3 linked regions of the Canis lupus familiaris genome follow. The protein of the gene in region 3 interacts with the protein of the main gene of each other region in a pairwise test. Links are inferred from orthologs where the notes say so. Each region holds a gene or a part of one and is shown on either strand. Other genes may lie near its edges.

Region 1 (7,647 bases), on a different chromosome or scaffold from region 3:
AAATCTTTCAGAACATCTTCCTGAATGTATCCGTTTACCAGACAACCAGTTCTCCTGGATGTTGCCTAGGTGCTATGTGGAAGAAAGATTCTGTGGTCAAAAGCTTGAGAAGTGCTGTGTGCGGGAGTTCATCGGGACCCTGGACAGTGGGGGAGCTCAGACCCTGTGCCGAGCACCACGATCCCAACGAGCACACCCCTAAATATCTGACCAGGGAACCCTTTTTTGGCAGGGCACACCTCAGAAGCCCTGTTTCCAGAAAACCTGGGAAACACTGCTCTATAAAAATACACCAATTTTCCCCCCACTACAACCCCAACAAAACAGAGGCTATTCGTGAAGGCTTCTATGTTCTACGCGTTCTTCAAAGAGCCCACTGCTGTGTCCCTACCCTGAACAGACATGGGCAACTCTTGCTGTGTGAGCATCTGTGCTCTGGTTTGCCTCTGGGACCAGATGCAGCTCAATGTCACCCATGGCGACAGGGGGCTGACAGCATTTGTTTATCCACAGAGCTTCCTTCCTTATTCCAGACTACAGTCATCATTCTGTGTTGCTGTCTGTATCTTTCATACAGTTCTGTTATTTTGGCCTATGTGAAAAATATGGTCACAACACAAAACAAACTAATGAACAAAAATAAATGAAGCCAAAGGGTAAAGTAATAGAAAAGATGATGGAAAGGGGGAAACATCACACAAATGCCTCTGGAAATGCAGGTGGAAGCATGGAATGATGGGAAGGACGGGATGGACGGGACGGATGAGGACCCAGCCTCGACACTTCAAGAGCAGCAGGGCAGAGTGGCCACAGCTGCAAGACCGGAGATGATGCTCTGATCTGCAGACGTGCTCCCCACTCGGAGAGCAGCTATACGCCCCTAGAGGGTCCTCGGGGCGCCCTGGAGCCGGGCCGCTCACCTCTCACAGAGCGCCATGAGTCACACGTCTGCTTTGCTTGCTTACAAACAGGAGGATGCTCCAAGCATCTCCCACGTGTAACAAGAGCCAACCGCACCTGCCCATGGGCCCCGGGCCAGAGCATGCTGCCTCCCCATCCCTGCCACTCTTCCTCAGGGGCAAATAGGTCAGTAAGGCCAGAGGTTCTTTGAGTTTCTAGTATAATAAGTAATTCCACACCAGGATTCATGCAAAGCCACCTCCCAATCCAGCTAAGGGACCTGGGACAGTTAGTTACTGGAGAGGCAGAGACCAAGACCAAGGATGCAAAGAGAAGGGGCCAGTCCACATGGCCCCACAAGGCCAGCAGCCACAGGCCCTCATGGGGCCAGAGGGCCAGTGCAGGGGGCCTGCAGCCCCAGGAAAGGGAATTCTCCTCGCCTTCCAGGGAGTACACCTTCCTGGTCAGCAAATCCTTTGTAAAATCTGGTGGGAAAGCCGTGAGCAGTCAGGTCAGGCCTCACACTATTAAAACATCAGCTTACTACCTTTCCAGAAAGCTCTCCCACACCAGAACATTTTATTATGATGACTAAAAGCAGAATCACTCTGCTAGTTCACTAAAACATGGTTCACTAAAACATGAAAGTGTCCCAGTATTGAAATTTCAAAGTGACATGTGGCCTCAAAGAGGACCCTGCCTCAGTGCCCTCCCATGGCTCTCCCTGGGCCCCCGACTCTTCTGAACCATGGAGTCCCATCTAGACCAAGTATTTGGTGATGCAGCATCTGACCCCCACCCAGGGCATTTCTTTACCTGTAAGTCTGGGGTGATGGCACAGAGCCTCCTGAAGGAACATTCTGTTTACTGTCGGCAAAGTGGAAGCCCTTCATCTCCATCTGAGAGGACTGGAGACACCACAAAGGTATGAGTGGTCATTTGATGGCCCTGTGCTGCCTGGCCCTCACTGAACCACCCTCGTGCAGAGACACTGAGAATTTCCAGCGAGGGAAAGGGATCACCTAAAGCAAACTGCACTCCCCCTCCCCCTCCAATCTAGGCTTGAGAGGCTTCTTGGAACCAAGGACCATCCTGTTTTTGTTCTCTCGAAGTGGGGTGGGGAGAGAGGACTGTGCACCACCACCAGGATGGCCATCAGCAGAGCCCCTGAAGCCGGGGAGGAATGCAGAGCCTGGACCCCAGCCCTAGACACACTCCATGGGGATGTCTGGGACGGTCTCTGAAACGGCCCCACAGCTCCCCTAGCCAAGAGGCCCCAGGCATCACCACCACACACCCCTTCCCTTCTCTTCTGGGTGTCGGCTCATGTTGCTAGCTTGAACCAAGGTGGGGAGGGGTTGCGCCATGGGGTTCCTAGAAGACTTCACCACGAGCAGGAAACCAGTGGTCTGGTGAGGCCAAGAGCTAGCTTGCAGCCCAACCTCTGGAATTTTCTGCCCCAACAGCACTTCCTGACTTAGCTAGCAAGGTTTCTCCCGGGCACGAGAGTCCTCCTTACCTCTCTGCTGGTGTTAAGGACCGAAGGCTGGGAGCCGGGTGGAAGGATTCTTCGGGGGGCCCCGACAGAGAGGCTCTGCCCCTGTGGCAGCTGGATGGACTGTGGTAGAATCAGAGGCTGCTGCCCGGAGCCGTACCGCGGCAGAGGCAGCTGGGAGCCAGGCAGCGGCATCGTCAGCTGCTGGGCGACAGGGACAGTCAAGAGGAGGAATGGATGTTGAGGAGAAAGCCACGAACTACTGTTTACATGTGTCCCCAGGAGAGGACACACATTATACTGCAGGTTCTCATTTTAAGAGAATTAAAGCGTGGCCTCTGCACAGCAATATAGGCTCTAGATTTCTGCTAGGGAATACCCTCAGAAGTAGGGCAAGTCTGATTGCTGGAACCAGCAGGTGGAGAAGACAAGCTCAGGGCCGTGCCAGCAGGTGCTACACTGTAACATGCTCACAGGGGACAGGAGTGGCTCCTCTCCAGGGCTGCAGAGGGCTGCATGCACCCAAGGGAAGCACCAGGACACTATCAGACCCAGGGAGCAGAGAGGACAGAGCGTCATACTGGACACAGACCCAACATGGGGAGTGCGGGCAACAAGCCCCTTATGTATTGGGGGGGTGGGGCGGGGAAGAGTTAGGGAAGGTCAGGAGGCTTCTTAGGAGGTAATGTCCAAGCAAGTCCCCAAACACGAACACTGGATGGATTTCTATCTACATACTGCTTTGCAAGGCAAAAAAGGGAAAACCCCTTTATTGTTTTGCCTCTAAAGGGTATGGAAAACTCAACTGAGTTCTGGGGTAAAGGGTTCCTGGAACTGGAGACTCTTGGATCCTTCTGAAGACTATTATAATAGCAGAACATGGGGGAGAGGGGAATGGTGACAGCAAGCTCTAAGGGACCACTTCTCAAGTCCAGCACCAGGTGGGTGACAAGGACAGGGGGGTGCCTCAGGACTGAGGCAGGGACGCCACTTGTCTCTCAGTCACTTTCCTCTTCATCCCCCTGCATTGAGTCCACGGGGGGGTCAGAAGGATCTATTGGAATTACATCACGGAGACGAGTGGCAGCCAGAGCCTCAAGACCCCACGTTCCTCCTTGCACACAATAGAGTGTGGGACGAAGAGGAGGATGTTACTACGCTTCTGGAGCACTGGCTCCCCATGTGGTATGGCCAAAATTGTGTTTTAGGGGGAACCTCAGCTGCTATGTTGAGAACAGATCATTGGGCCCAAGAGTAGAGCCAAGAGATCTGGGAGGAACCCCCACAGGAGCCTGGACAGGGTGGGGTGTGGAGGGAATGAGAAGTGGCTAGATTCTGTATACCTTCCAAAGATAGAGCCAATGGAACTCGCTGAAGGATCAGAGGGGATGTGAGGGGACATGGGGACCTACAGTGACATAGATAAGACAGCCAGAAGGACCAGGAGAAAAATCAGGTTTTGGACTTGATGCCTTCACACACTATGTTTGATATGCCCTAAGACACCAGAGCAGAGGAGACGGGTAGCCCACAGGTGAGAAAATAAATACCTGGTGGGACTGGGAAGACCTAAGTCCCTTGATGGGACTTTAAGCCATAGGACTAGACAGAGGTTGGAGGGCAGAGCCTAGGGGGCACCAAGAAATCACACACCACACAGGTGAGGAAGAAGGGGTTGCCAGGATGGCAGCGCCTATGAACAGAGTGAAGAACATGACTCCAGGTGTCAGGAGCATCCCGGAGTCAAATGCTGCGGATGGGTCAGCAAGATGAGGGTAAAGAATAACCATCAGGAATTGACTGGTGTCCTTAAAAAATTTTTATGGTTTTGTGTTTTTAATAAGGGGAATAATAGAGTTGGCTGGGTACGGCCCTTCGTTGTGCCCACAGCACACGTGATGTACGTAGGAAGGAGCTGGAGCCTGGCTGGAAGGGCCTTCCCCAAGCTCCGCCAGCCCACCCCTGTGGCAGGAAAGCCCTCAGGCGGTGCTTTGTACAAGATCTCTTGTTTCATCACTGCTTCTATTTCTCTAGTGACAGGGTAGAGGTAGAGGGTGGTGAGGAGAAAGTTGCAAGTCTGAGACGGGCACTGGAGGCTGGAGATTGATGGGGCCCGAGTTCAGGGGCATGGAGACTCCCGAGGGTGGCTGTCGGGGCCTGGCAGCAGATAGCCCAAGCAGGTCTGGTTTTCTGTAGGCACAGACAGCTGTGCAGACACAGGCCTGGACCTAAGTGAGAGCATTGGAGTGGGGACAAGGACAAATGCAATGGGCAGCACCGATAAGCTGGCAGGGAAGTGAGCCCACAGGAGAAGGTGATCAGGTGGCCAGAGCTGCATCGCTAGCAGGGAGAGCTAGCAGAGCAGGGGTGGGCATGAGTAAAACCCTTAAACTTGAGATGGTGGAAAAGGTACAGCTTCTGGCATTGACAAGTCCCGACAGGGCTCCCACGCGGAGCCCTGGTGGCAAGGGGCCGAGGAACAGAGACCAGGCTATCATCTACACACACATCAAAACCACCAGCAGTTACAACAGGAGCTATGCTGGAGAGACTGAACCAGGAGCGACCCTCAAAGTTGTCCAATACTACTGACGGTCACAGGAGAGGAAGACATGAAGCCAAACGCTGGATTCATAATATGGACTCACAGTAACATGGAGGCCAGTGGAGCCATCGACAGTATGGGCTCCAGGGCTGGGGTTCTGGGGAGAACAGAGGGAGAGCTGTCCAGAAGCATTAGTATGCCAGGAGAACATGCACCCCATCTCCAAGCCCCCCAGGATGAGGGCGGGAGAGAGGCTGTGGGAGGAGCAGTGCTCTCAGGGGATAAATAGGACAGGACCGTTCCAGAGAGGCAGAGGACCTAGCCCCAGTTCTAGCAGCCCAAGGACCAATCACAATGGTTACAAGCTGCACATAAGTCAGCAAAATCAAGAGACAGATAAAAAGGAAAAACAGTCACAAGAGAAAGAGGCCCTAGTGTGCTGGGCAGGGGAGATGGAATTCCTGACCTGTGGGAGCTGGGAGTCCAACAACTGGGAGGCGCCTAGGCCCGCAGCCTGACCCAGCTGGCCCTCGTAGACCAGGGCTTGGTTTCCACTCATGGGCTGGTAGGGGGAGCCGGACTGGGGCTTCACCATCTCTAAGGGCTGCATGCCTGGGAACGCCGAGTATGGAGGCTTCAAGGCTGTGCCTCCAGAGAGGATCATGGTGCTGGGTGGTGACAGGCTGGGATGCATGTACACCTGAGATCTGCAAAAGCCAGACAGACGGTGGGTCAGATGTAGGAGCACACCAGTGGGTCTCAAATAGAAGCACGCAGCACGATCCCCCAGAGGGCTTGCTAAAATCCACACTGCTAGCCGCCCCCCACCCCAAGCTTCTGACTCAGAAGGTCTGGACAGAGCCTGAGAATCTGCATTTGTAACATGGACCTAGATGGTGTGGATGCTGCTGGTCCAGGGGCCACAGTTTGAGCATCACTAGATGACACATCCAGGCTGTACAAGGCACAGGAAAACCTATGTGATGCTAAAGGCATGGGACTTCAGACACATGGGAAGAGCAGACCATGGGTATAGGCAGGCGGTGGAGGCAGGCAGGAGGAAGGGAAGATGGAGAGGGGCTGTGAAGGGGTAGGACGACGTGGAAAAAAGACACAAAGCCCACGGAGGAGCATCATCAAGCCCACGCAGCTCCTGCAAGAGTCATTAATGACTCTGAAGTGACCATGATCACCACCTCCCCCCACCAACCACCCCAAAGCAGAGGCGAGGAATGGCAGCTCACAGGCCATAGAGGTGGAAGCTTGTGTCCCTGGCTGCATCTCACCTGAAGGGCTGTAAGGAGCTGAAGATCTCCTGAGCCTGGGAGGCGGGAAGCCCGCCCCTCAGTCCCAGCTGGGCTGGAGCCTGCAGAGATGTGTGAAGGGAAAGAGGGATCTGCTGGGCAGCGGCAGCCTGCGGAGGGGAAGCCAGGCAGGTAACTGGGCAGGTGACCTTGGGGGCCCTCTGAGCTGCTCCCCACCCCGCCCCGCCCCCTGTCCAGCGGCAGTGCAAACACTGCCCCAAATGCAAACTGGGACATGTCCTTCTGGTGCTTTCCTTGCTCTTGGGAAAAAGCAAACAATTGGGTAACAATCCCAAACCCTGGCACGTTCCTATCCTGGATTCTGTACAACAGCAAGAATGAATTCTAGCTACGGTTATCAACAGAGGCATGTCAATGGTGAACAGGACTCATACATGAAGAATACATGCGGTACAATCCAGTCACGTGAAGATCAAAATCTGGTAAATCTAAATGATGTAATAATTAAGAGTATGTTTCATAAAAAGGTTGGGACAGGCCAAGTCCTCTGTCCCCAAATCTGCTTCTGCCCAAGGGCCCCACCGTCCTGGCACACAGTTCTGTGGGCTGCTGGACCATCAGAAGGCTCCACTCCAGCTTCAGGAGGGAGACTTCAGAAATCCGCCCCTTGCAGCACAGAAAATACGCCCATCCTGCATGAAAACAAACACCTGCACGTTTCTAAAACTACCTCTTTCTAATGCATCCATGCCTGGGAGTCTAGGCTTTTCTTCTCTTCATCAGAAGGATACCTGATACCAAAGGATACCAAAGAGAATTCCGTTTCAGCTAATTCCCCAGCTAGGACACAGGAAGAGCTCTGAGAGAGGGAGACAGAGAGTCTGGAGCACTGAGCTCCCGTCCTCTTCCCTGTCTCTCCTGTGTTCATTCACTGAATGTTTCCTGGCTGCTAGGACAGGCTGGGAGCTGGGCATTACATGTGAGGGACACAGGAAGCCAGACAATGAACAAATCAATGAAGAAATTAACTCCACTGTGCGCTGCACCCCCGCCCCACCACACCCTGCCCAGGCCCGCCTGGCTTGCAATCATCACCTGCTGGTAACTCTGCTGCTGAGGTATCGTTTGAGGAACCAGCCGGGGCTGACTTGCAAACACATGGCCATCCAGGTACAGAGGCGGCAGGTGGTTGCCTGCAAACAGAATTCCAGAAGACAGAATAGGATCAAGTCTCACTGTTCCCAAATGTTTGCACGTGCATGCTTTTCCGGGGAATCGGGAGGGAGTGTGTACAGAGCCTGCTCAGCTCCCTGCTGGTGGCCCCTTACTCCAGCAGCCCCACACCGACTCACCCACTGACAGCAGCTTCAGGGCCCCAGAGCAGGGGCAGGCTCCAGCCTACCCTTCCTACCCAACCCCTGGCCCACCGGCCCACACCTTTG
Region 2 (8,131 bases), on a different chromosome or scaffold from region 3:
TTTTTTTTTTTTTTTTTTTTTGTAAGTGGAATTCTGTCTAGAGTTCTAAACTTTCAGAATTGAAATGGCCAGAAAAGTCATCTGGTTTGACTTTGTTCTGAATTAAGGATCTTCTAACTCTACAGTATATTTTGCCAAGTGGTCTGCTTTGACCTGACACAGAAAGGGAGTTTTTAGACTTTTTTTGAAAATCTACTTTGAAGTACCACAAAATCACCTTAGTCTGGGGTGGTAAACATAAGGGGGGAAAATGCCACTCAAACTAGCCAATTGAAGAGGGTTTACAAATGAGACTATTGACAGAGAGTGTGGGCAGGTTTAAAGGAATCCAAGAAATACTGTGGGGTTAGCAACACAGAATCTCCTGCAGGCACATAGAAATGGTAGCTTAGAGGTTTAAGAGAGGTCCTCCATCCCACTTCTTATGGCTGTAGATCCCATGACAAAAATTATGTTCTTCTTGGGACACCTGGGTGGCAGTAGTTGAGCATTTGCCTTTGGCCCAGGACGTGATCCTAGAGTTCCAGGATTGAGTCCCACATCAGGCTCCCTGCATGGAGCCTGCTTCTCCCTCTGCCTGTGTCTCTGCCTCTCTGTGTCTCTCATGAATGAATAAATAAAATCTTAAAAAAAATTATGTTCTTCTTCCATCCTATTTTCTGTGGCTGGATGGCTTTGGTAACAAGCTCTACTTCAATATATAAAATAAAATTGGTTCTACCAACATTTCAACCTTAAGAAACGGAAGAAAAGTAACCTAAGTAGCATGAATCCACAGGACAAGAATCTGATGGAGGTAAGCCATATCCAAACACTCCTTGGAGCACTTACATGGCATTGGGACCCAAATTTGACTCCAAGAGGCTGGCAACCTAGTTAGGGAAGACACATCAAAATATGCCCTGAATGCTACCACATGGGGGAGAATAAACTGCTATAGAAGCTCAAAGTAGGACCTTAAATAGTCTGAAGAAGTAGAGGAGTTTCTAGATAGAGATGTTAGCAGAGAAAGAAGTCTAGGGATTGGATCCAGGAAAATAAGGTAGTGATAAGAAAATGAACAGGAAGTAAGAGGGGAAATATATGGGAGAGGGAAAAGATACTCACTGTAACTCATCTTATTACAAACTGGATCACTTTACCAACTTCACCAGATATAACCATTCATTAACAATAGTTCAAGGATCAAGAAAAAGGAAAGGTCCCTCAGAAAGAAAACTAAACAGAAAATCTATAGCAAGGAAAAGCACTTAGAAGGCTCCACTTGTGCCTCTCTTGCATTGCTTCCCCTAGGTTTTAAGACTTGTTTACATGCTCTTCCCATTCTATCAGGACATCTTTTGCAGGAGGGACCACATGTTCATCACTTAACATTACCAACAGCATTTCATTTAAAAGAAAAAAAAAAAAGGTCTTTTTATTTATTTGAGAGAGTGAGAGCCCAAGTGGAAGGAGGAGCAGAGGGAGAGGGAGAAGCAGACTCCCAGCTGACCTGTGGGAGCCCCACAGGAGAGGCTCAATCCCAGGACTCTGGGATCATGAACCTGGGGCCAAAGGCAGGCACTTACCCGACTGAGCCACCCAGGCATCCCCCCACCCAGCAGCATTTGAAACATAATCTGTATGAAGCAAAATCCATCATCTTCTCCAACCGTTCTGTCCCTTAATAATGGTTAACAGTGCACAATCCTTCCAGTCCCCAGCACATCCTGTCACCTGCAGGATCAGCCTGGCACTCTACAATCACCCTGTCATAACCTTTTCCACTCCTGAGCACAGTTGAATCCCTCAGTACCTCTCATTTCATTTGTACCTTAGCTTCTCTTTTTCCAGCCAATTTTACCCTCACACTTTTAGAATAACCTTCCTAAAATCCGCTAGTTATTTTACTTTCCTACTTAGGAGTGCAACAATAATGTCTTACAAAGAGTAACTGCATACAAATAAAGTCAACATCCCTCAGCATAGCATTCCCAGCTATACTTTTTTTGTTCCATGGCCTCTAAAGCCCGTACACATATCCAATCCTCTGGTCACACTGAGCTACTGCATACTCTTAGAATTTGTCTTTTGTTCCACTGGCTGTCTTTCTTCTGTGGTTCCTTCTCCTCGATTTTGCCATCGAGTAACTATATTCCTTTCTTTCAACCCTCTAACGCTATATACTTCCTCTCCAGCATTTATCACTTTCTTCTTGCCTCACACCATATTTTTATATTGTCTACCAGGCCCTAAACTCCTTGAGGGCAGGCTATTGTAGCCTCAAAACCTGCTTATAACAATTGCTATACGGCTCAACTCAAGATACCTGTTCAGGGATCATTCCCCACACACCATATAGGATGGCACCATGCCCTGCTCAGAAAAGGTAGTAATTCTTTGAACGAGTGGATGATGCTTCACACTCACCTCCCCCACCCTGCTGTCCAATGTAAAGAAAGAAAAAAAAAAAAGAAAGAAAAAAACTACTTGTAGCATTTAATTGCTTGGACAAAAAAACGGGTTATGGCACTAATTCTTCATATATCCCGAAAGGTCACATCTTAAAAGCATATTCTGGGTCATTCCAGCCGTAACGTCTTGACCGAGCCTCAGAGCAGCCCCAACTGAGTTCGCTCTTTCTGAAGTTGGAATCCACTGAACTCCCACGGGAGCCCCGTCTAGAGGACCGCGGTATGTACGTGACAGGAACCGGAGCCCAAGGGGCGGGGGCGAGACCTGCAGACCCGCCCAGCGGCGCCCGGACCAGCCAGTGCCACCTTGTCCTTTCCCCAGCGGTGTACGGTTTACAGCGTGCCCTCGCGCTGGTCTCCTCCTAACACTGTCCTGAGGCAGAAATTCTCACCTCCCTAAAGAAACAGAAGATCGGAGGGGAGACGGAGAGGAGAGGCGTGGCAACGGGCTGTGGCGGGGAAGGCGGGTGGAGGTCCGGAGCCCGAGCAGGATTTCGTTCCAGGCTCAGCCCTGCCCGAGGCAGCTGTGGGGCCGCGGGGCGGGGGCGCAGCGGACGCACGCGAGGGCCCTCCCGCTCTCACACTGCCGGATGCTGAGGCGCTGCGAGGGGGGCGCCGTGTGGGGCCCGGCCGCCCAGACCAGCTCCCTCAGCGGCCCCACAGCAGCCCGCGCGCCCACCCCCTCGGCGGCTCCGCCGGAAGTCCCGCCTGCGCCCGCCGCGGCCGCCCCCCATTGGGCTCGGCGCCGGGGTCTCGCCGCGGGTTGGCCGCCCGGAGGCGTGAGCCCTGGGGGGCCACTGCGAGCCCCGAGTGGGGGGACCCGCTGGAGACCCGCTGAGACGCGGGGTGGCCGCGGGAGGCGGGGCGGGGAGTGCCGGGGCGGCCGGCGGGACTTCCGCCACGGGACCCGGAAGGGGCCGCGCCGCCGCTGGTGGGAGTTGTAGTCCGGCCGTGGTTGGGGGGGCCCGCGGCTCATGCGCGGTGCACCGAGGCTTGTTTCACATCTGTAACAACAGGTGAATTGGGCTTTTTATTCTCCCCTTTCGTGTCCCCTTGAGGAGCTTGCCGCGGCCGGGGGTGGTCGGCGCGAGGAGAGGCCCGGGTCCGACCGCCGGCTTGGCGGAGAGTGGGGCGGAGAAGCGGGCGGGCCCGAGGAGCAGGCCGGGCATCCTAGGCCTGCCCGCGAAGCCGGCCGGGCCGAGCCGTGGGCAGCCAGGCCTCGGCCTGCCGTTGCCATGGAGCCTGGGCGGGGGCGGGGGCCAGGCCGGTCCGCTGGGGCGGGCCTGGTAGCTAGGGGCTCCGCGGGGACCGCGGGAGAGGCCGCTTCATTGGCGCAACGACGCCTCCGCCTCCGGGGATGCTCGGTTCCCCGAGGCAGGGCCTGGAGGAAGCTCCTGGAGTGCCCCGGGACCTTTGTCTGTCCCCCGTGCCGCCTGGACCGTTCGTCCAAAGGGAGGCCTGGTGCATTCTGGCTCCTTTGGTTTGCCCCGTTTTGCACCGACCTTGTCACTGAGGGAGGCCAAGGGGTGAGGTGTTCTTTGTTTGCTGGTGGTGACTTGCCCCATTTCGCAGGGGAAGACCTAATGCATGTTGGGTCCTTTGTTTGCAGTGAACTGGAGTCCCAGGGGTCCTCAGAACCCCCAAGCCTGGAGTATGGCGTCAGGATGCTGTCTAGCTACTCCTTGTGTAGCAACGTTGGTCACCTTAATTGTGATGTTGTAAGGCAGAGATTGTCCCACTTTGCAACCCCAATCCACAGGGTCTTGCCATAGACTGTAGCAGGTGGACTGCAGATGGCCAGGTGCAGACTCTCAAAACTGTTTTTGGTTGCAACTTACTGGCCAGAGGGAAAGGAGACATTGTCTGATGGTTTCCCTTGCAGTTCTTTAAAGGCTGTAAAGCCACTGTCATTGTGGGTCTTGACTATATCTTACTATTTACACTTAAATCTTGGAATGTTGGAGTTTCCAGGAGGGAGTTCTCTTTTTCCTGATAGAGTTTATGATAATGCCCTTTATTTGTAGAGCTGTTTAAGATGCAAGAAATACATCCTTTGCTGAATTTTTTTTTTTTTAAAAACTATGTAGGTTGTCCTTTTAGCTCCAAAGAATATTATTCTCCAAATGTTTTAACTTCTGTAGCCATGGTCCAAAGTTTATCAATTGGACCCTTCTTGCCACTTTCAACCTTTATGTCACTATAAAATATTATTTCCAGGAATGAACCATGGGACATCTAGGCAACAGGACAGTACCATAGAAATAAGAAAAATAGTGTAGTGTAAGCATGGAAAGCTTTGGAGTCCAGTACTTAACTGTAGATTTCCATTCTGCCCTGAGGCAGCTATGGGATCTTGGGCAACTTACATAACTTTCTTTGGGAAAATCTGCCTCAATTTCCTTCTCTGGGAAAGATAATTTCTACCTAACTGGGAAGTTGCAAAGATTAACTGCTCTAAAGTCTGTGGAAGTACTTTGTGAACTCTGAAAATGGTATTCAGTAATCATTATTTTCCTAACCTGGAAGAGGTTTTTTTTTTTTTTTTTTTAATCTATCTTAGGTAGGGTCATATTAGAGTCGTTATGGGATTAGAATTCAGAACTGGAAGCAGGTTTTGCTCTGGGCTTGGAGAAAATGCTTTCAGGACTACAAGCCCCTTTTCACCATGACACCTCTTTCTTGATATCTTACAGGTGCTGATGTAGGGCAGCTCACAATTTGATGGGTTGTGAGTCTGTCTGTCATGGCAGGTCCTGAAGTGAGGCCAGTGTGTCCAGTGTGGGTTTCATGCCATTAACAAAACTTGTCCTTGTTGTTAGAGTCAGTAAATGGATTTCAGTGGTCTGCAGCAACTTTATTTTTCGTATGAGGTTCATCACTATGGTGACCGATAGTGACCCAGTCTTGTATTTTCTAGGAGGAGGCCCAGCCTCGTGATGAGGAATTGCAAGGAGAGAATTCAGCTTCAGTTCAAAAGCCTACAAAATCTGAGACTGTCACTGCTCGTGTAAGGTAAGTTGACTTAGCCATGCACACAAAGCAGTGACAGATCTCACATACAGCCACACTGTAAAGCAAAGGCACATATTAAATCCATTTGTGACTGTCTTAGAAGAAGGCTATCATTTTTAATTAGCCATTATGGAATTTCTCTGTCCTTGAATCATCCCATAGTGACTCTACCTGGAGTTAAGTGGTGTTTCATTATGCAAGAACTCTTGACATAATATTATTTTACTTATCTTTGAATTATTTGAGAGAAACTCTGAATCATAAAAGTTTCCAACATAATTATATTTCAAGGAACGCACATTTTTTTTCAGTTTCTGAAATGTTCTGGAACTCAGTAAGATATCTTTAAAACATCCTATCTTGAATATCATACAGATTTTTTTAGATTGATATAGGAAAAGATAGTGTCATGTGGCTTTGGGGTTCAGGACTTTATTTTTTTTAATAAAGATTTTATTTATTTATTCATGAGAGACAACACAAAGAGAGGCAGAGACATAGGGAGAGGGAGAAGCAGACTCCCCATAGGGAGCCTGATGTGGGACTTGATCCCAGGACCCCGGAATCACGATCTGAGCCAAAGGCAGGTGCTCAACCACTGAGCCATCCAGGTGCCCCTGGCCAGGGACTTTTTAAAAGCAGAACTAACAGTCTGTTTATAAGCAAATTAATTTACTCTTTCTTAGCAAGAAAATGTTGTGACTCAATAATTGCTTAGATGTTTTAGATTTTATAATCAGATTTTCTTTAAAATTAGGATCTCAAATTATACCCTTTTTCTTCTAATTTGGATAGAAGGAGTCTATAGAATGTAACTTCTTAAAGTGAATTGTGTCGTTGTTGATATTGTATTGAAGTTTTCTCTCTGAGCTACCATATCCTATCGGCTGAAATTTCCGGCATCCCTGGGGGAGAGGAGGCCATCAGGGCAGACCTGCTATGGACCTGAAAGATTCGGCCCCAGGTCAGCCCTCCACCCCCATCTCCCCGTGATTTGAGAATGAGATGGGAAAGCAGTCAGAAGCAGGAGTGTAGGCCCTATTAGACTCCTTGTAATGTTGGACATTATGCTGGTTTGCTAAAACATTGTGTAGATGTTTTTAAACTGAGGCCACGTAAGTTTACTGCACCAACCCAGGAGTACTACATTATTAAAAATATCTATAAGTGAGTTTGAGTGTTTTTGAAACAAAAATCATTAAACCAGAGGTGTTACTTCTCTCTCTCTCTCTCTCTCTCTCTCTCTCTGTGTATGTTTTAAGGCTCTAAGTATACTCCTCAGTTAAATGAATAAAATGTACCAAAATTTTTGCCCAACAGTTGAATTTTTTTTTTAAAGATTTATTTATTTATTCATGAGAGACACAGACTGAGAGAGAGGCAGAGACATAGGCAGAGGGAGAAGCAGGCTCTTCACAGGGATCCCGATGTGGAACTCGATTTCGGATCCCGGGATCACGACCTGAGCTGAAGGCAGGCACCCAACTGCTGAGCCACCCAGGCATCCCACCAACAGTTGAATTTTAACTTAATATTTGTTGTATAATAGACTCTGCCACAAAAGGCTTTTTACTTTGAATCACAGTCCACTTACTTTTTGATACTGCCATCAGGTCCCATCCCTAGGGTCTTGACTGGGTTTTGTGAAAGTTCAGTAAACTACTTTGTCCATAAGGCAGTCAGTCCCATTCGCTGGTGCCAGATGAGAAAAGGGGTCCATATAGAATTTCCTTTCTTCCCAGAAGTCCCAGGAAAACTGCAAAGTGCTGTGATGAGGTGGAAATACGTCTCTCAGGATGAAATGCATCTCGTTCTGTTTAGCAGGGTTTAGGGAGTTTAGGACGGAGAAAAGAAGAAAGCTCTCAGTGATAAAGAAACAGAGCCATGTAATTACTCTAGAGTGGAGATGGCCCTTCCATCCTTAAGGCCAGGAGCAGCAGTTGGTGCTCAGTAGTGAAGAGTTTCATTTGTCTCACCTTCTGGACCATGCTTTTTGTGTATTTGAAATCTTCTCTGTGGGGTCCTGGACTGAGAATAGTAACCATTGCCTCTTGGCCCTCCTTCTTAGGATTCCAGCTTTCCCTCCTGGCCAGAAATGTTCAGCCTGGACTCATTCAGAAAAGGTAAGAACATAGCTGTGCCTGCGACCTCATGCCCTCCTTCCCTGGGACGGGCAGCTGTGAAGGCTGCAGGGACTCCTTACCAGTGTGTAGGACCCCTTAGACCCCTTCTTTGCATGACTCACCAAAGTCCTTTCTCTGCCTTCCCCTCACACAGTGCTTATGACCCCATGGCTGAGTACCTGGCCGCATCCCTGTGTTCCTTTGCTGTTCCTCTCCCTGAATATCCTCTCACATGTACTCACTGCTCATTGGAAGCCCATCTATTTTTCTACGCCAGTGTTTTATCCCATTTTCTCCATGAACCATTCTTGATTCTGTCAACCAAATTCAGTCCCTCCTCTCTCTGATTTTCCTCAGGACCATATCTGTACTTTCTTGTGCTTAGTTTATTCGGATCTAATCTCCACATCCCTAGATTAGAAGCTCCCTGCAGCCAGAGCCTGTTGTGTCCCTTTATCATTTATGGCACCTGGCATAGCATTTTGCACAGGGCAGGCCTCAGCAAATGATGGTGAGTGTGGATTGGGTCATTGTTATATTAGT
Region 3 (8,174 bases):
CATCCCAGTGGGGGAGCAGGGCCTAACGGCAGGCGGCCCTGAGTCCAGGTGACCACTCAGCTGGAGCAAACACTCCCCTGGGTGTTGGACACAGCTCACACCTGTGTGCCATTGAGATAACAGAACAAAAAGAAAAGAACAAAAAAACAAACAAACAAAAAAAGAGATAACAGAACATCGCAACAAGCCTCGAGTAGTGGCGGGGTTTAGAAGACCCCATTCTAGGAGGCACCCGTCTAAGGGCAGTGGACCCAGGATGGGGTGCACGCTCTCTGCCACGGGACACGCACGCAGTGAGGAGCCTGAGCCAACTGCCAGCGTGGACTCGGCTCTTCCCTAAGGCGGAAGGGTGAGCGGGGCCCAGGTGGGGAGGGCAGGAGCAGAGTGTCCCAGGCCATGGGGAGACCCCGTAGCTTGTAGCATGGACCCTGGGGCAGGGCCACCCCTGCTCCGGAGTTTCCTGCACTGCTCCGAAGCCTAAGCTAGTCACTGCCATCAAGGGCCTAAGCCCACCGTGCCAGGGGCTGCCCTGTCCCCAGCCTGCAGGGCCCAAGCCTCTTTGGCCTGAGGAGCTGGTGCGGGAGGGCACAACGGGGGCAGGTTCTCCAACCGCCCTCAGGGTTGGCCCTGGCAGTGGTTCAGCTCCAGACTGTGTCCCGCCACCCCTCCTGGGTCCTCAGGCCTGGCAGAGGGAAAGGCTGGGGTGGCCTAGGGGGCCTCAGCCTTCTGTGCTGGCTGCAGATTCAAGCTGCTCTGGGGCCCACGCTCTGCCCCCCGTCCCCTGTCCTGGGCAGCCATCGCTCCCCCCCTCACCGAGCCTGGCATGGAACACTTCCAGCGGCCGGGGGCGGGCCTGTGTGGTGGCTGTCAAACCTGTCGCCCCTTTCCTGACCAGCAAGCTGGCACGACTGCGCCTCCTCTAGCCTTCATTCCAGGGCCAGTCCTTCCCCTTTGTGGAGGTAACTCAGCTCAGCCCCTGGACGCTCTTCTCCAAATTTTCCAGTTGATACCAGCTGTGTCCTAAGCTGAAAAGTGCTCCCCCAAATTCGCATCTACCTGGTACCTGTGAATGTGGCCTTATTTGAAAGTAGGATCTTTACAGACAGAATGAACTTGGGAGGACAACTTACTGGATCAAGGTGGGCCCTAAATCCAATGACAGGTGTTCTTTTAAGAGGGAGCCTCAGAGACAAACAAAGGATAAGGCCGTGTGACCCTGGAGGCAGAGAGCTGGGGAAGGCCTCGGGCTGCCAAAGCTGCCAGAGGCGGGAAGGGTCTTCCCCTGGAGGGACTGCGGGCCTGATGACACCGGGAGATAATCAATCTCCTGTGCCGGAAGCCACCCAGTTTGTGGTCCTTCATTACAGCAGCCACGGAAACTCACACGGTCCCCCTGGGGCTTCATCCAAGGCCAGCCGAGCTCCAGCAGCCACTTCCTCCGGAGCCTGTGGCCTCCCACGGCTCCTTAGGCAGATGTGGGGGAGGACGGGGCATAACGGCCAGCTTTTATGGGCCTGCCCTGGCGCTGAAGCTGTGCATCCCTCATCTACTCCTCGTGCTTTACCTGGAAGAGGAGAGTTGTCCTGCCCCAAACAAGGGAGGAATGGAGCATAGGACAGGGAAGGGGCTGGAACTGGCTGTGTGGCCCTACGACGCTGTTGTGACCACCATGCAGTCCTGCCTGAGGGTTGCCAGCTGGAGAAGCAAGGAGCAGGGGCTCCAACAGAGCTGAGCACTGGATTCTCCTGGCTCTGGTCACAGGCGCCCTGCTGTTCTGGGCCCCAGGGAGGAGGATGCTCCAAGTGGTAAGTCCTCACCTACGCAGAGGCAGACAGCAGCAGCAAGACAGCACTAGGTGCCCTGCGCCTCCACGACCTTGCTGGCAACCACAATCTCAATGTGGCTTCCCTGCATCTACCACCTTTCTGGACAGGACTCACCCCAAATGTGTGACTTCACGTTACCATGAGCTGCCCGTGGCCCAAGTGAACCAAAGTCCTGCTGGACCCAGATTCACCTGCAGGGCATCAGATGTTCCTCTGGGTTGTGCCCAGCCTGCCTTTCCCATCCTTACGTCAGGCAGGGCCCCAGGGAGACCTAGTGATGAGCAATTTGGAGCAGTGGATGCCCCCATGGCCCACCCACCTGCCACTGTCAATTCTACCTCCTCCTGCAGCCGTTACAGATGCTGCCTGGTACCCCGCTGCTCCTGTCTCCCCAGCGCGGGTACCGGCTCTAAGCTGGTCTTGGCGTCCCACCACGATCCTAGCGGTCCCCGTCCCCCTGCTTAGAGCATGGCCCGCCTGCTGGCATCTGCCTTGGCCCTGTTTCGGGGAGTGCTCTTCTTGATGCCCCCCTGCCTGATGCCCCACCCGGAGCCAGCACTCAGCCTCTCCCCTTCCTTCCGCGGAACAAGCGCCCAGACCTGGGGCTTGTGAAGATGTTACAAGAGTGGGCCGCAACGGGCTGGGAAGGGGGAAAAGATTCCCCCGCACCTGGGAGCCAGGGTGGGAAGTGGCTGCAGGGGCTCTGGAGCTGGGAGCAGGGTCCAGGGTGAGCGTGGAATAGAACCGCACTCCTTCCAGGAGGTCACGCTCAAGAAGCGGCTGTCCATCCTTAAACAGAGACCAAAAGGCCCCTTGCCCTGCCGGACTAGGGGGACTAGGGGGACTAGGGCACAGGCCGGGCTGACCTCTCTGCCCCCCGCGGTGAAATCTGCAGCGGACGCCGTCACGTGCAATCTGGTGCTGAACTGGGGGGCGGCCCTGGAGGCCCAGGACAGCGCTGGACAAGCAGGACGCTCAGCGAGGCCGCAGATCAGGGCTCCCCGGGACGGCGGCTGCAGAAGGCGAGCGCAGACAAAGCCTAGGACCCCGCAGGTGCGGCCCCAGCGACCGCGGCGCTCGCACCCAGGCCGCCCCTCGGAGGGCCGGGGGACGTCTGCGGGCGGGGGTCCGGCCTGCTCTCGGTGGCTTAGCTGGGGGCCGCACGCGCCGGCTGACCTCCAGACCTCGGGGCTGCGCCCGGGCGCCCCGGGCCGAGGCCGGGCAGGTGCGCGTCCCAGCAGGCCCGCCGCAGCCCCGCCGCTCCGCCGCCGCCGCCCACGTGACTTCCCGGGCGCGCTCCGCCCCCGCCGCGCGATACCGGGACCCGCGGCGCGAGATCCGTCCCGCCCGGCGGAGGCGCGCAGGCGCGGCGCGTGGCGGCCCGTCGGCGCTCCCGGCCTGCCCCGCGCGCGCTGACGTCGCGCAGCCTCGTCCCCGCCGTCGCCGCCGCCGCCGCCGCCATTGGAGTCGGCGCCTCGTCCGTGCGTCCCGTCCAGGCTCGTCGCCCCGCGAGCGCCCCGCGCGCCCGGTAGTCGCCGCCGCCGCCGCCGCCCGGCCGGCGCCCGGGGAGGAGGCGGCGGGCCCGGGGCCGCGAGAGCGCGGGGGACAGGCCCGGCCTCGCGGGGAGGCCCGAGCCGGCGGGCGCCCCGGCCCCGCGCCGCGCCGCGCCGTTCATGAAGCATGTCGGCCACCAGCGTGGACCCCCAGGTGGCTGCCGGGGCGGGCGCGGGCGCGGGCGCGGGGGCGGGCGCGGGGGGAGGGCGCCGGCGGGGGGCGGGGCGGCCGGGCCGGGCCGGGCGGGGGGCGGGGGGCGGGGCGGGGCCGCGCGCCCGGGACCGGTCCTCGTGGGTAACTCTGTGTCTCCCTCCCGCCCGCCCGGCTGCGCGCCCTCCCGGCCCCTGCGGCCACGCAGAGAACAAAAGGACAAGACACTAAAGGTGAGCCGCGTGGGCCCGGGCTGCGCGGGGCCCCCGACCGGCGGCGGGCCGTGGGGCGGGGGCGGGGGGGCAGGTCCAGGAAGGGCATCTGGAACCGGAAACTTTGCTCCCGTGTGCTTCCGGGAGATAACCCCGAGGCTGCGGGAGCCGAGGTCGGGCGGCGGAGCGCGGGGCTCCTGCGGGTGCTCAGGGACCCTCGGCCGGATGGGGACGGGGACGGGGAGGGAGGGGAGGAGAGGAGGGGAGGGGCCGCCCGCCCGCCGCCCGCCCGCCCGCTCCCCACCCCCCACCCCTCGGCCCCCTGCATCGCCCGGGATGTTGTGGCTCCGGACAAACCCCCAGAACGCGATCTGGGGAGAACCCGTAAGTGACACTTGCTTGTTTACTTGGAAGACGCTTTTTTTTTTTTTTTTTTTTTTTTAAACTCGGGTGTAACCAAATATGGTTCATCACGTTTTAAGATTGGAAGAGGCTCAACGCTTTATTTACCTTTTCTTTCTTTCTTTCTTTTTTTTTTTTTTTCTTGGCTGAGCCATGGTAACAGTGGGAAGTAAGTGGAGAGCCGGACAACGGCGAGCTCAGAGCTCAGAAGCTTCCCCGGCTGCCCTGCGCTGAAAGCCGCGGCGGGGGTCCCCGGCCTGCACGCACCCTGGGCCCGCTGACCTCCGCTTGGTCGTCTTAACCAGGACCCAGTTACTAGTTCCTTGTGTTACTCTGTCTGCACCTGCGTCTTGCCGACTTCTATCGAATTATGATTAGCTTTGCGTCAAAAACGTAAAGTTACTGGAAGTTGTGCATCACCGCGTTAATTACTTGTGTACCTATTAGTTGGATGCTGGTTGTCTTCCTTTTTAAATAAAGGCAGGTTCTAGGAGTTGATGGGTGTAGACTTTATTTTTTTTTAAGATTTTATGTATTTACGAGAGACACACAGAGGGAGAGAGAGGCAGAGACACGGGCAGAGGGAGAAGCAGGCTCCATGCAGGGAGCCCGACGCAGGACTCGATCCGGGTCTCCAGGATCACGCCCTTGGCTGAAGGCGGTGCCAAACCGCTGAGCCACCTGGGCTGCCCTAGACTTGACTACTTTTGATCTTAGTGCATCAAAGCAACTTTTTAAGATTCAAAAATTATATTTTTCCTTTTTTTTTTTTTTTTTTGTTCTAGTACAAAATGGTTCTTTGCATCAGAAGGATACAGTCCATGACAATGACTTTGAGCCCTACCTTTCTGGACAGTCAAATCAGGTGAGTTTATTTTATGGCCTATATCTTTATGTTCATTTTTGTTGAGTTTTGTAACACATTTTTGTTGTTAACAGTTTTTCACCTTATTCTCCTGAACGATCAAGAAGCGCAGTATAAAGTACTAGCAGTAGAGAGCGTACTGACCACTTGCTTGGTTGACTGTCCTTGAGTTACACGTAGGGCATGAGCGCAGTGTAGCGGGTGTGCTCTCGGAGGAAGTGGTGTCCCACGGGGGCTGCATGCAGGTGGGCTTCTGCTGGCCTCACATGGATGGCTCAGTGATGCACTGTTTTTGATGGAGTGGAAATGTGTGCGGTTTTCTGAAATTTTCTGGTGATTTATTTTACCTCTGGGCAATTAGAATAGGTGGCCTAGGAGAGCATCTAAGAACTGAGCTCTGGAGCCAGACTTTGGTCTCATGTTTGAATCTTCACTCTACCACTGACTCCCTGCCCCTTCCTTAGAGGACTTGCCTTCTCTCTACCTCTCTTCCTGTTCGGTAGACCCGGTTGTAGTGACTGCCCACAGAATTGTGGGGATGGTAACAGCGGGTGGCTCACGTGAAGCTCAAACTGGTACCTGTGCAGGGCCAGAAAGGTCACAGCTGCCCATTTTTCTTGGGTGCTTCAGAGTTTGTCAACCTTGGCACTATAGATGTTTTGCACTGAAACATTCTTTGGGGGGCTGCGCTGTATGTTGTAGGATGTTTAGCAGCTTCTCTGGCCTTTATCCATGAGATGCCAGTAGTAACGGACTCCCCTGCACACACACCAGTGTGACAACAAAAAATGTGTTGGTGGTGTCTCCTGGGGGCCAGCTTGCCCTGGTTCAGTCCGCTGGGCTAGTGCAGTATAGGCTTAAGCATGATGTCTACCAGGTTTTAAATGTATTACATATGTTTGCTTTAGGATAAAACCAAGCTTTGCCTTTTTTTTTTTTTTTTTTTTAATTTTTATTTATTTATGATGGTCACACAGAGAGAGAGACAGAGAGAGGCAGAGACACAGGCAGAGGGAGAAGCAGGCTCCATGCACCGGGAGCCTGACGTGGGATTCGATCCCGGGTCTCCAGGATCGCGCCCTGGGCCAAAGGCAGGCGCTAAACCGCTGCGCCACCCAGGGATCCCAACTTTGCCTTTTCTTGCAGTGGAGTAAAGTTAGTTTGTTCCTTTTCTTCCTAGTCTGCTCTTGTCTAAAGAGTCTTAAAGTTTCTTAGAACTTTTCTCCAGTTTTCTCCTTTTTATTGCATTGAGCAGCTCAGCAGCAGAGGCACCAAGGAGACCCTTTATAGAGCCTCCCTGGACCCAGCCCCAGCCCTCCTCTGCACAGGACCTGGAGCTGCAGAGTAGAACTGGCCTGGCTGCAGTGATGCATTGTTAGAGCTAATGGCAAGAAGTGAAACAGACTTAATTTCATTTTGGTATTTTGTTTTTTCCTTATGTGACTTGAATATAGCAGAAGTGTATTCTAAATTTCAACCAGAGAAAATTGGAGGGGGTTGCTTCACTACTCTTGAAATACGTTTTTATAAGGCAGGAGCTTTCATGTTATTTGGGAGGACTGCTTTGGAAGTGGAGCAGATGATTTTCTGTCAGGAGGGTAGTTACAGCTGTTTCTCCCTGGGGAAGCTGGCTGTGAAGACCATTGTAGGTTGACATTCCCATGAACAGCCTTAAAACAGCTGCGTTATCTTGGCCGTTAGGGTGTGTGCTTTTCAGCAAGATGGTTAATCAGCACGCTCCTTAAGAGTAAATGCATGCTCTTGATTGAGAACAGATTTTCCAGAAACACCTAACTGTTGGGAGTGTAGGAAGCAGGTAACAGGAGAGCTTTTAGATCCTCATGTTCCTGGTCCTCTTGTTTTGTGGATGAAAAAGTGGGACTGGAGAGGCCTGGTTGCCCAGGTGGTGGAGCCAGTTTGGCAGCTGGTTCCCCACTGATTGGGGGGAGGGGGCCGGGGATGCGTGTCCATGGCAAGGGCTCCTATTGTGCTTGTGTTTGTCACTTCTTTATTCAATGGGGAGTGGGGGCACCATGCAGTGTGGCCTCCTTGCTGATAAGCCCCTGGGAATTGATGACACCCCTGGTTTTGGACTCTGCTGGCGAAGATCCCTGTTGAGGAAAGCTCTTGTGTCTTGGTCCTCCAGGTCTCAGGCTGAGGGTACACCATGGTGTCCAGGCAGCCAGAGTGCTGGTGAGTCAGTGAGAGAGTGGTTTGTGTGGCCTGGAGCAGCACTTCCAGTTGTCAGTTGAGGTATTGTTGACGTGCCGGGCTGCACGTGTGTGAAGGGTGCAGCCTCATGAGTGACTCTGTGTGCCTGTGTTTGGCCACAGAGAGGGTGGGGGTAGAGCTGTCAGCCCCGTGGTTGCTACTTTGTGGCTGTTTTAGCCCACATGTTCCTAGTAGCAAGCTCTTTCTGTTTCTGTGTTTGAGGTTCTCATACCTGGGATGATTAGGAAACTGTTTCAAAGCAGGACTTTCAAGTTAATGTAACTTGTAACATGCTGTGAAGGAACTGTTGTCCTTGGGGTAGGTGATTTTTTTTCCCCCCAGAAAGGTCTCGGGACACTGCTTCTCGGGTGCATTTTTTCCTTCCTAGTCTCCCCCCACCCCCCCACCCCCCCCCAGGACCATCTTGATGGTCTGGGCCCCTTGTGTGACTTGGAATACATGTTAGCTTTAGGGAATGGGGCAGGCGGGAGGGGGGGAGCGCTGGGGAGCAGAGGGGCTCTGGGTGAGGGGCTCTGGAGGGGTTCTAGGTAAGGGGCTCCCTGGGGATTTTGGATGAGGGTCTCTTAGGTTCTGAGTGGGGTTCTGGAGGGGCTCTAGATGGGGATTCTGGGTGGGGTTCTGGGTGAGGGGCCGGCCAGTGCGGGCAGCTACGACCATACTCAGAATACATTCAGTTATCGACACACTTGTTTTCCTGGTCACATCTGATGGGACAGGAAGGAACAGGAATAAACTTTCCTAGTTTCTTTTCAATCCTTCAGTCTGTGTAATAGGGCACGTTCACTTTATGGGAATGATGTGTAAACTCTTCAGTTCCGAGATTCAGTGCTGATCTGTCGTAGTCTCTTCTGTAGCCTAATCTTGCCCTGAAGATGTGTCCGTCTTCCTTTCTTGAGGTCCTGTGTCTCCCACAGGCTGTGATTAGAAGTCTGT

Evidence for each region.
Region 1: the proteins of YTHDF1 (region 3) and PRRC2B interact in a two-hybrid assay, tested with the Homo sapiens proteins (2 studies listed by BioGRID, with this or other methods). The link is inferred for Canis lupus familiaris from reciprocal best matches to the Homo sapiens genes YTHDF1 and PRRC2B.
Region 2: the proteins of YTHDF1 (region 3) and DHX30 interact in a two-hybrid assay, tested with the Homo sapiens proteins (2 studies listed by BioGRID, with this or other methods). The link is inferred for Canis lupus familiaris from reciprocal best matches to the Homo sapiens genes YTHDF1 and DHX30.

What each region holds. Positions count from the first base shown.
Region 1 is NC_049230.1:52,734,699-52,742,345, forward strand, and holds part of PRRC2B (protein PRRC2B), read right to left. Parts: intron 7,399-7,647; coding exon 7,301-7,398; intron 6,997-7,300; coding exon of another isoform or gene 6,985-6,996; exon of another isoform or gene 6,936-6,984; intron 6,355-6,935; coding exon 6,227-6,354; exon of another isoform or gene 6,223-6,226; intron 5,648-6,222; coding exon 5,407-5,647; intron 3,473-5,406; exon of another isoform or gene 3,390-3,472; intron 2,600-3,389; coding exon 2,420-2,599; intron 1,809-2,419; coding exon 1,717-1,808; intron 1-1,716.
Region 2 is NC_049241.1:41,533,401-41,541,531, reverse strand, and holds the start of DHX30 (ATP-dependent RNA helicase DHX30), read left to right. Parts: upstream 1-3,673; 5' UTR 3,674-3,688; coding exon 3,689-3,979; intron 3,980-5,370; coding exon 5,371-5,465; intron 5,466-6,322; exon of another isoform or gene 6,323-6,404; coding exon of another isoform or gene 6,405-6,429; intron 6,430-7,533; coding exon of another isoform or gene 7,534-7,588; intron 7,589-8,131.
Region 3 is NC_049245.1:47,785,137-47,793,310, reverse strand, and holds the start of YTHDF1 (YTH domain-containing family protein 1), read left to right. Parts: upstream 1-3,427; 5' UTR 3,428-3,506; coding exon 3,507-3,533; intron 3,534-3,738; coding exon 3,739-3,763; intron 3,764-4,929; coding exon 4,930-5,009; intron 5,010-7,155; exon of another isoform or gene 7,156-7,262; intron 7,263-8,174.